Linked DNA regions of Oryctolagus cuniculus. The protein of the gene in region 2 interacts with the protein of the main gene of each other region in a pairwise test. Links are inferred from orthologs where the notes say so. Each region holds a gene or a part of one and is shown on either strand. Other genes may lie near its edges.

Evidence for each region.
Region 1: the proteins of TCHP (region 2) and NDOR1 interact in binary tests that used the Homo sapiens proteins (3 or more experiments, as listed by UniProt). The two-hybrid records come from large-scale screens. The link is inferred for Oryctolagus cuniculus from reciprocal best matches to the Homo sapiens genes TCHP and NDOR1.

What each region holds. Positions count from the first base shown.
Region 1 is NC_091432.1:237,492,987-237,497,504, reverse strand, and holds the start of NDOR1 (NADPH-dependent diflavin oxidoreductase 1), read right to left. Parts: upstream 2,860-4,518; coding exon 2,604-2,859; intron 2,494-2,603; coding exon of another isoform or gene 2,445-2,493; coding exon 2,416-2,444; intron 1,447-2,415; coding exon 1,319-1,446; intron 853-1,318; coding exon 754-852; intron 670-753; coding exon 568-669; intron 489-567; coding exon 279-488; intron 82-278; coding exon 1-81. Other genes in the region: TMEM203 (transmembrane protein 203), read left to right, coding at 3,010-3,420. UniProt on the Homo sapiens protein: NADPH-dependent reductase which is a central component of the cytosolic iron-sulfur (Fe-S) protein assembly (CIA) machinery.
Region 2 is NC_091452.1:18,802,860-18,806,649, reverse strand, and holds part of TCHP (trichoplein keratin filament-binding protein), read right to left. Parts: intron 3,197-3,790; coding exon 3,115-3,196; intron 1,768-3,114; coding exon 1,582-1,767; intron 1,048-1,581; coding exon 904-1,047; intron 219-903; coding exon 186-218; 3' UTR 1-185. UniProt on the Homo sapiens protein: Tumor suppressor which has the ability to inhibit cell growth and be pro-apoptotic during cell stress. Inhibits cell growth in bladder and prostate cancer cells by a down-regulation of HSPB1 by inhibiting its phosphorylation.

The DNA.
Region 1 (4,518 bases), on a different chromosome or scaffold from region 2:
AGGCCCAGTACCTGGCAGAACCGCTGGACGTGGTCGGCGGTGTTGGAGGGCTGGATCAGCACCACGTCACCGGCGGCAAAGCTGGGTGGGGGTTAGGGGAGGGGCTTGCGGAGGGAGGCCACGTTCAGGCCTCCCCAGCAGAGCTGCCAACTCCCAGCTCCAGCGGGGGCTCGAGAACCCTGCGCCCACTGCCCCACCCCGAGCCCCAAGCTCCCGGGGACGCCTCCACACCCCGCTGCCCTGCCTGTCTGGGGACGAGGCTGTGTCAGGCCCCTTACCTGATGCCAGAGCCCGTGATGTCAAACTCTATCAGGCGGACGTCCTGGAAGTGTGAGGGGCCGGTGACCCTCTGGTTGGTGACCATGGGCGCCAGGAAGGGCCGCAGCTCTGTGGGCGGCCCCTGAGGGTCAGCACCAGCCTCGCGGGGCTCCTCCGAGCCCACGCTGGAGCCCTCCTGAAGGAACTGCAAGGTGAACTTGGAGGGCAGGCTGTGGGGAGGGCGTGGCCGTCAGAGCCTGGGCTGCCTTCCGGGGCCCTCGCCCACCCCTCGGGGAGGCCCACACTCACGGGACTCCCGGGGGGATCACGGCGAGGCCGGCGGGCACAGGGTACAGCTCCAGTACCTTCTCCCACAGGCTCTGCAGCCAGGGGTCGATGGCGGCATCAGGCCTGGGGGGATGGGCACGAGCTGAGGGCGTCCTGCCCGTGGCGGGGCCCTGCTGGCCGCGCCACGGCACCGCCCCCTGCTCTCACCCCAGCTCGTGCTGGTCATCGCCCAGGCAGGCGGGCAGCAACGCGCTGCCACCCAGCTGCAGCAGCCGGCGGTACAGCTTCTTGGCCACGAAGTTGAACCTGCAGAGACAGCGCGGCCGGCCCAGGCTTGGCAGAGCCGAGGAAGCTCCGGGGCTGGGAAGTAGCCTCGTTCCCGACGGCCCTCATCCGGGTGCCCGCAGGTGGGAGCCGGGACTTGCGGGGGCCACCTGTCTTCCCGGGCGCGGTTTCCTCTGTGGGGAGTGCCCCCCCGGTCACCAACACCACGTGGAGCGGTCCCAGGTCCTCACTGCCTGTGCCTCCCACTGAAGGGACTCGGGGGTGCCTGACCTGCGGGCACGGCCACCCCGCCCTTCTGGGACCGCCGGGCGGTCTTCCACGTCTGCCGAGCGACACTGCTGCTTGTTTACGGCAGGCCGAGGAAAACCGGAGGCAGCCCCCCGCCCCGGCGGAGCCGTGTGGAGGGGCGCCGGCCCCACGGAGAGCGTGCGTGGACGGGACGCAGCTCTCGCCCCTCCCGCCCAGCGCCCACCCGCCTCGGACTCACTTGGCGTAGGAGGAGTCCCCAAGGCCCAGGACGGCGAAGTCCATCTGGCAGAGGGAGGTGGGCGGCAGGCGCTTCCGGAACAGGAACCTCCAGAAGTTCTGAAGCCGCAGGGAGCTGTGAGAGCCGGGCTTCCCGCGCGCCCCGCAGGCGGTGCTGACGGCTCCGCGCTTGGCCGCCGCCCACGCCCACGCCCACGCCCACGCGGAGACCCAGCTGCAGGTCTGGCCTCCCGGGTTCAGCCCGGCCCAGGCCTGGCTTGCAGGCAGACGAACATGGACACCTGGAGCAACACGACTGCTCTGCCACCGTGCCGAGAACCCGTCCAGGGAAGGCAGGTGGCCCCGAGGCCGCCCGGAGCAGGCACTCACGAGGTGGGGGGCGAGCTCGCTGCCTCCCGCGCCCCCTCCCCTCGTCTCCCCGTCGCAGCAGCGGTTCTGGGCTGTGCTGCTGGGACCCCTCCCCCCGCCCCCGCCCTCACAGGGCCACCCCAGGAGCCCCAAACCTGAACCCCGACCTTCCTTGTCCGTGACCAGAGCGGCCCTCCGCGCTGCCCCTCTGCTCCTCCCACCACCGCCCTGCAAGGGCGCCTCAGCCCCTGCGTGCCCACCGCCCCTTCTGTGGGTGAGCAGAAGGCCTGGACCTGACAGCTGTCGCCCCACGGCTTCCGGCCCACCTGCCTGACCGCCGCTGCCCGGCCACTCTGCACTGGGCCTGGCTTCCTGCCGCCCCTCCCTGCAGCGCCAAGCACCCTCCTCCCGGGCCTGGCGCCCCGCTCGCTGCAGGACCAGAGGCTCTGCTCGCACCCCGCGGCTGGCCCCCCTAGCATCTGGCACCTTCCCCAGCCGCGGGCACTTCCGGCGCCGACTGGACCGCCCAGCACGCTCGCTGCTTCTGCTCCCGGGAGCCCCGGCCCCAGCCCGTGCCCAGGCTGCACCGAGACCTAAAGGCCCTTCCCCGGGAGCCACAGGAGACCAGACCAGCCTGTCCGCGAGCGGTGAACACGGAGGGCGAGGCTTCTCCGACAGCACCGGCGGAGAGCCACTGACTACCGCCGGTGTCTCTCCAAGTGCGGGGCGGAGCCCCCGGGCCAGCCTTACCTTCATGTTGTCCGGGGGGTCTCCCTGGCCTGCAGTTGCACAAACAAATACCACCAGGCGCTCGTTGATCAGGTTCACCTCAAGAGAAGACACGCAGGTAAGACCTCGTGCGGGGACACCGCACCGAGGGCGCCCCCTGCGAGCACCCCCGCGGCCCGGCCCCCTCCCCGCGCCCCCGGAGCGCTCACCACCGCGTAGGAGTCCAGCGCCTGCACGCGGCAGCCGAGCCTCCGGCGCCGGGCCTCGCGGCCCAGCCTCTCCGCCACATCCTGGGCCGTGCCCGTCTGGCTGCCGAACAGCACCAGCAGCTGCGGGCTCGGCATCGCGGCTCCCCCGGGGGGCGGTCCCCGCCACCAGGTGCACCGCCGGCGCCCGCCGCGAGGCGACTTCCGCTTTCCGCCGCCCACCGGAAGTGACGCACTTGGGCCGCGCCCGGCGGGGCATGGCGTCCGAGCGCCGCGGGCGTCGGCGGGCGGCCGGTGCGGGGTTCCGGGCGGCGGCCGGCGGCGGCGGCGGCGCGGCCGCTCGCTGCCTCGCGCTCGCGGCGGTTGCGGGGGCGGCGGGCGAGGCCCCGGGCCGCGCGCGGCCGGCGCCATGCTCTTCTCGCTGCGGGAGCTGGTGCAGTGGCTGGGCTTCGCGCCCTTCGAGAGCTTCGTGCACCTGCTGGCCCTGCTGGTGTTCTCCGTGCTGCTGGCGCTGCGCGCCGACGGCCTGGCGCCCGGCCTGTCCTGGTGGAACGTGTTCGTGCCGCTGTTCGCCGCCGACGGGCTGAGCGCCTACTTCACCACCATCGTGTCCGTGCGCCTCTTCCAGGACGGGGAGAAGCGGCTGGCCGTGCTGCGCCTCTTCTGGGTGCTCACGGTGCTAAGCCTCAAGTTCGTCTTTGAGATGCTGCTGTGCCAGAAGCTGGTGGAGCAGACCCGGGAGCTGTGGTTCGGCCTCATCGCGTCGCCCGTCTTCATCCTGCTGCAGCTGCTCATGATCCGCGCCTGTCGGGTCAACTAGCCCCGCGGCGGGGGTGCGTGCCCGGGCCTGTGGGGCGGCCAGCCCCGCGCCGGGGGTGCGGGACCCCGAGCCCGGGGCGTGGGCCAGCCGGGGCCCCACCTCCGCCCGCTGCACCAGAGACAGCGCCTGCTCCTGCCCAGCCGAGCGGCCACTTTGCTGCCCAGAAGTCGTGGCTGACATTGCTTCTCCCGTTAGCTCGGGGCCTGCACAGCAGCTGCCCCGCTGGACTCAGGGACTTCCTGGCCCGGCTGTGCTGACCCAAGAGCTCCAGTCGCACCGTGCTGTCCAGGCTGTGTGAGATGGTGGATCTCCTGCCTGATGTCCTTTCTCCATCCCGGCCACCACGCAGGGCCTGAAGGACGTCAGACCGCGTCCGCTGTCAGCTGGGAGCATCGCTCTGCCATGGGGTTGGCCGAGAGGAACAGGTGCCCGGTGCCCTGAGGATTGAGACCTGCAGGTGGGAAGCGGGGTGGCCGGCTCTGTCGGCCGCGGTCTTTGGTCTGACGCCAGTTGGGTGCCAAGTGGGAACATCTGCGATAAAAATAAAAGAGAATCTTTCCGGAAAGGCGCGGGTTTTCTGTGCGTCCTGAAGACGGGCCCCTGCGTGGGTCTCACGGCGGGGCTTGGGGTGGACCTGGAGGGGAGGCGAGCGGGGGCGCCCAGGTGAGGGCACCTGCCATGTGTGGCTCTGCAGGGCCGGGGGCAAAGCTGCCCTGAACCCTGGTTTCCCGCCACTCGTGAGCTGGGGAGGCTTCCACGTTTAGAAGGGTTCGGGATGAAGGGTGTGTGACGGTGGCCGCGGCCCGAGTGGCAGGGCAGCACCCGGCACCTCGGCCGACGGGGCCTGGCCGTCCTCCGAGGACGGGTGCTGGCCTGAGGCTGTAGGGCGTCCAGCAGTGTCCACGGCCTCTAGGGCTCGGGACCGCTTTTCCCAGAGCAGGTGTGCTGACCCTGCTGTGACAGCCTGTCCAGCCTGTGGGCCTGTGTCCCCTTGCCTGAGGGGTGCCGGTCCTGTAGGCTCGCTACCGCACTGCCCTGCACTTGGGAGACCCCTGGCCGGGTCAGTCTCACTACCAAGATGTCTCCGGCCCAGGACTG
Region 2 (3,790 bases):
GCACGTCCCGCTCAGGACCCCTTGAGTAAGAGCAGGGAAGGGTCTCTGGCTGGGAGCTGCACGTCCCCACAGCTCCGTGCCTGGGCCCCGGTGCCCCGGCCCCCACAGAACCTGGTGCAGCTGCTGGGCGGCTCTGCGTCGAGGCTCCAGCACCGTTGCTCTCCGGGCGTCTGGCACCAGCCGCGTCAGTCCCAGGCAATTCTGGGGTGTCCGCGAGGCTGAGGAACAAGGAAGCAGACATGGGGGCGGTGGAAGAGCACCGCAAGTCAGAGCGAAGAGCACGACACGAACGGCTCTTCACGTCCAGCTGGAAGCTCTGCCCGACACGGAAACAGGCTCCCTGCGGTGGTTCCGTAAAGCACCAGCCCTGACACACTCCTGCGCGCCCTGGGAAGCCCCGTCCCCAGACACTCGCTGTGCACGGCCAGGGGAGCTCCCTGCGGTGGCCTCCCCGCTCGCTCTGTTCTGCTTGGCTTTGGGACTCCCTGACCCGGAAGGGCCAGCCTCCTCCCCTCACAGCTCATGACCTCGAGAAGGCACCGTGGGGCACCAGGCAGCTTTCCTGTCTCACCAGTCGGGAGCCTGCCCCTGCTGTCACCTCTCCCCAGCTGTGGCCACCGCCCTTCTCAGATTGCTCTTGGCCCCCAGACAGGCTGGACAGGCTGGACAGGCACGCAGCTTGGCGGCGGGGTATCAGAGTCTGGGCTGCAGTGGCAGGAGCCAAAAAGCGTGAAGGCTGTTGGAGGCCCAACGAAGGACTGAAACAGACCCTGCGCCGAGGTTCTCTACTAGTCAGGAGGAGGCAAACACAAGAGGAGCGCCCAGACAGAACCGAGACGCTGCACTGCACAGCACAGCACAGCTCAGCGGGGCTGTGGACACGCCGCGGAGGCGCGCTCCTACCTTGGGCCGGTAGCCACGCTCGGCCATCATCTTCGCCTCTTGCCGCAGCAAGGCGTCCGACAGCTGCTCTGCCTGCCTGGCCTCCTCCTGCTCCTCCTCCTCCTGCTGGTCAGCCTCCCGTGCCTGCAGCTGGCGCTCTGCCACCTAGGCCCAAGAGCAAAGTCACCCCAAGGCAAGGCCCCGGGGCACAGCCCTGCGCCTGCTCAGCAGGGGAGGCTGCGGGCCCAGCTGGGCTGGAGGACCAGAGCTCTAAGGAGCAGGGGCGGCAGGTGCCAGGAAATGGGAGGGGCCCCTGGGGACTGGAAAAGGCTTGGCCAGCAGCCGTCCGGGTCTTATACAAAGCTCCACACACGGCTGTGTGTTGGGCAGAATATTCCGTGTTCCACCTCAGGTTGTGGAATTGAATAAATGGAGAACTGTGGCCCAAGGAGCCACCTGTCCGCAGGTGCGGACAGGACGGAGGGGACAGACAGGCCAGCCGTGCCCACCAGAGGCGAAGGACCCTGTGTGGGGTGCGCCAGGGCTTCAGCTGCAGTACCCAGGGCCACAGCGCACTGCACTCTCCAACACGAGCGAGCTGTGCGGAAAGCGCACCAGCCCTCAGGCCTGCCCTGCAGCGAGGCAAGGATGCGTCCCCTGCAGAGGCTGCCTCCCGCCCAGGGCCCTGGCTCAGCCCACCTGGGCTTCCAGCTCCTGCTTCCTGGCCGACTTCTGTTCTTCACTCTGCCCCTGCTCCCGGCGAGCCGACTCCCTCGCCTCCTCCAGACTGCGAATGAGTTGCTCCCTGTGCTTTAAGGATTCCTCTTGCGCCCGTCGGTTTCGTTCAATCTTTTCTTGTATTTGCTGTTGTCTTCCCGCCAGGACCTGGCCTCGGCAGGAAGGAAGAAGCAGACTTGAGAACAAGCCTTGGCCAGGCAGCTCCGCAGGCGACCTAACCCTCAGCCTCGGGTCTAAAGCCCGACAGGACGGCCAGGCCCCACTCAGACTCGGGCAGAGTGAGACTCGTTCCCTAGCAGTGGGGAAGCCCACAAGCCCCGCAGATGGCCACAGGGGGTGGGGGGGCCTCGGCTCATGGGGTGACATCCCCCACTCAAGGCCCCAGAGCAGCGTGATGTCTTGCACCAGCCTCGGACGGCCTTGGGGATCAGAGAGGCGCCTGGGAAGCCACCGACACACCCTACGGTCACGCTCTCGGGAGGGAACCTGCAAAGCAGCCACGACCAGGACCCAGGCTGGAGCGAGGAGAATCAGCGGCCACTGGGGACACCTGGTATTCACAAGAGTGGGAAATCACCAACGGAGACCCCAGTTCCCACCGCCAGGCACACGGGACTCCCTGCTCTAAGCCACTCGGAGCTCTCGGCACACAGGTGACACAGACCACCCAGCCACTGGGCGTCTTCCACGTGTGCTCTCCAGACCATGGCTGGTTCCCCGTGCTGAGGGAGAAATCTCAATGTGGAAAAGCCCAAAACACTCCGGGCAGCATTGCTTACAGTGGCTCAGAATGAGAACAAACTAGAACGCACCAGACAGCGATGGAAAGGCACGCTGGGAGGCCCTCAAGAGGACGCGTGGTAACAATCTGGCCGTGACACGGCATTTACACACAGAGCAGTACGTGGAAACGCTCGCCTCGAACGGCACAGTATAATAGGCACCGGCACACACGGAAGCAGGAGTTGAAAGAAAGATGCCAGTGGCTATGCCGAAGACAAGGCTCGGGTGCTGTCAGTTTTACTTTCTGCAAGTTCGTTCTTTTTTTTTTTTTTTTGATAGGCAGAGTGGACAGTGAGAGAGACAGAGAGAAAGGTCTTCCTTTGCCGTTGGTTCACCCTCCCACGGCTGCTGCGGCCAGTGCACCGCGCTGATCCGAAGGCAGGAGCCAGGTGCTTCCTCCTGGTCTCCCACGCGGGTGCAGGGCCCAAGCACTTGGGCCATCCTCCACTGCACTCCCGGGCCACAGCAGAGAGCTGGCCTGGAAGAGGGGCAACCGGGACAGAATCCGGTGCCCCGACCAGGACAAGAACCCGGGGCGCCGGTGCCTAGTGAGCCGCGGTGCTGGCCTGCAAGTTCTTTCAACAAGAGTTTCCAAGCCCACGTAAGATAACTGGAAGAGACTGTCCCCAGCAGCGCCGGTGGGATCAGTGCTCCACGGTGGACTCCAGACACCTGCCTGGGGCCCCGGGCCTGGAGGAGATGCTGGCTTACCTCGCTCATGAGCCTGTCGCGTGCACTCCGCTCTCGGGCCCACTCGGCCTCTCTCTTTTCCCACATCTCCTTGGCCTCCTCCCTGGGCAAACACGAAACAGGTGGCAGAGGCTCTGCACCACTGCTGCTGGCCGGCAGTAAGCCAGAGAGCACACAGGGCCCAGCAACAGGCTCCGGAGGACCAACCTTCCCGTCAGCTTGTCCCCCAAGCTCTGCAAACCTTCCCGGAAGGACTGCCCTCGGAATCTGAGGCTACCCCTTCCCAATACCTCATCTCCTAAAAGCACTGCAGGCAGCTTCTACAGCAGCCCCTGGAGTGATGGAGACCACCAGGCCTGGGCGGGAGGAAGGCACTGCCAGGGCCTGAGCCCTGTGGCCGTGCACTGGGGTCATGGCCAGTGACCTCCGTGAGTGTCAGTGGCTGTCACCCATCACGTGACCATTTCAGTCTATGGGTTAGGTGTCGAGGGCCAGGACCCACTTGCACAGGCCCAAGAAGCACGCAGCTTCTCCAGGACACAGCAGTTTCCCTGCAGATCGCCAAGATTTTACAGCAGCTGAGCAGTGTCCTGAGCCGTCGTGACTTCCACCTGAAGTGACTGAAGGACACGCTCCCACAGCCAGGCCCGCGCGCGCCCCGGTCAGGGGGCCTGGAGGCCACGGCGGCCTGGGAGCC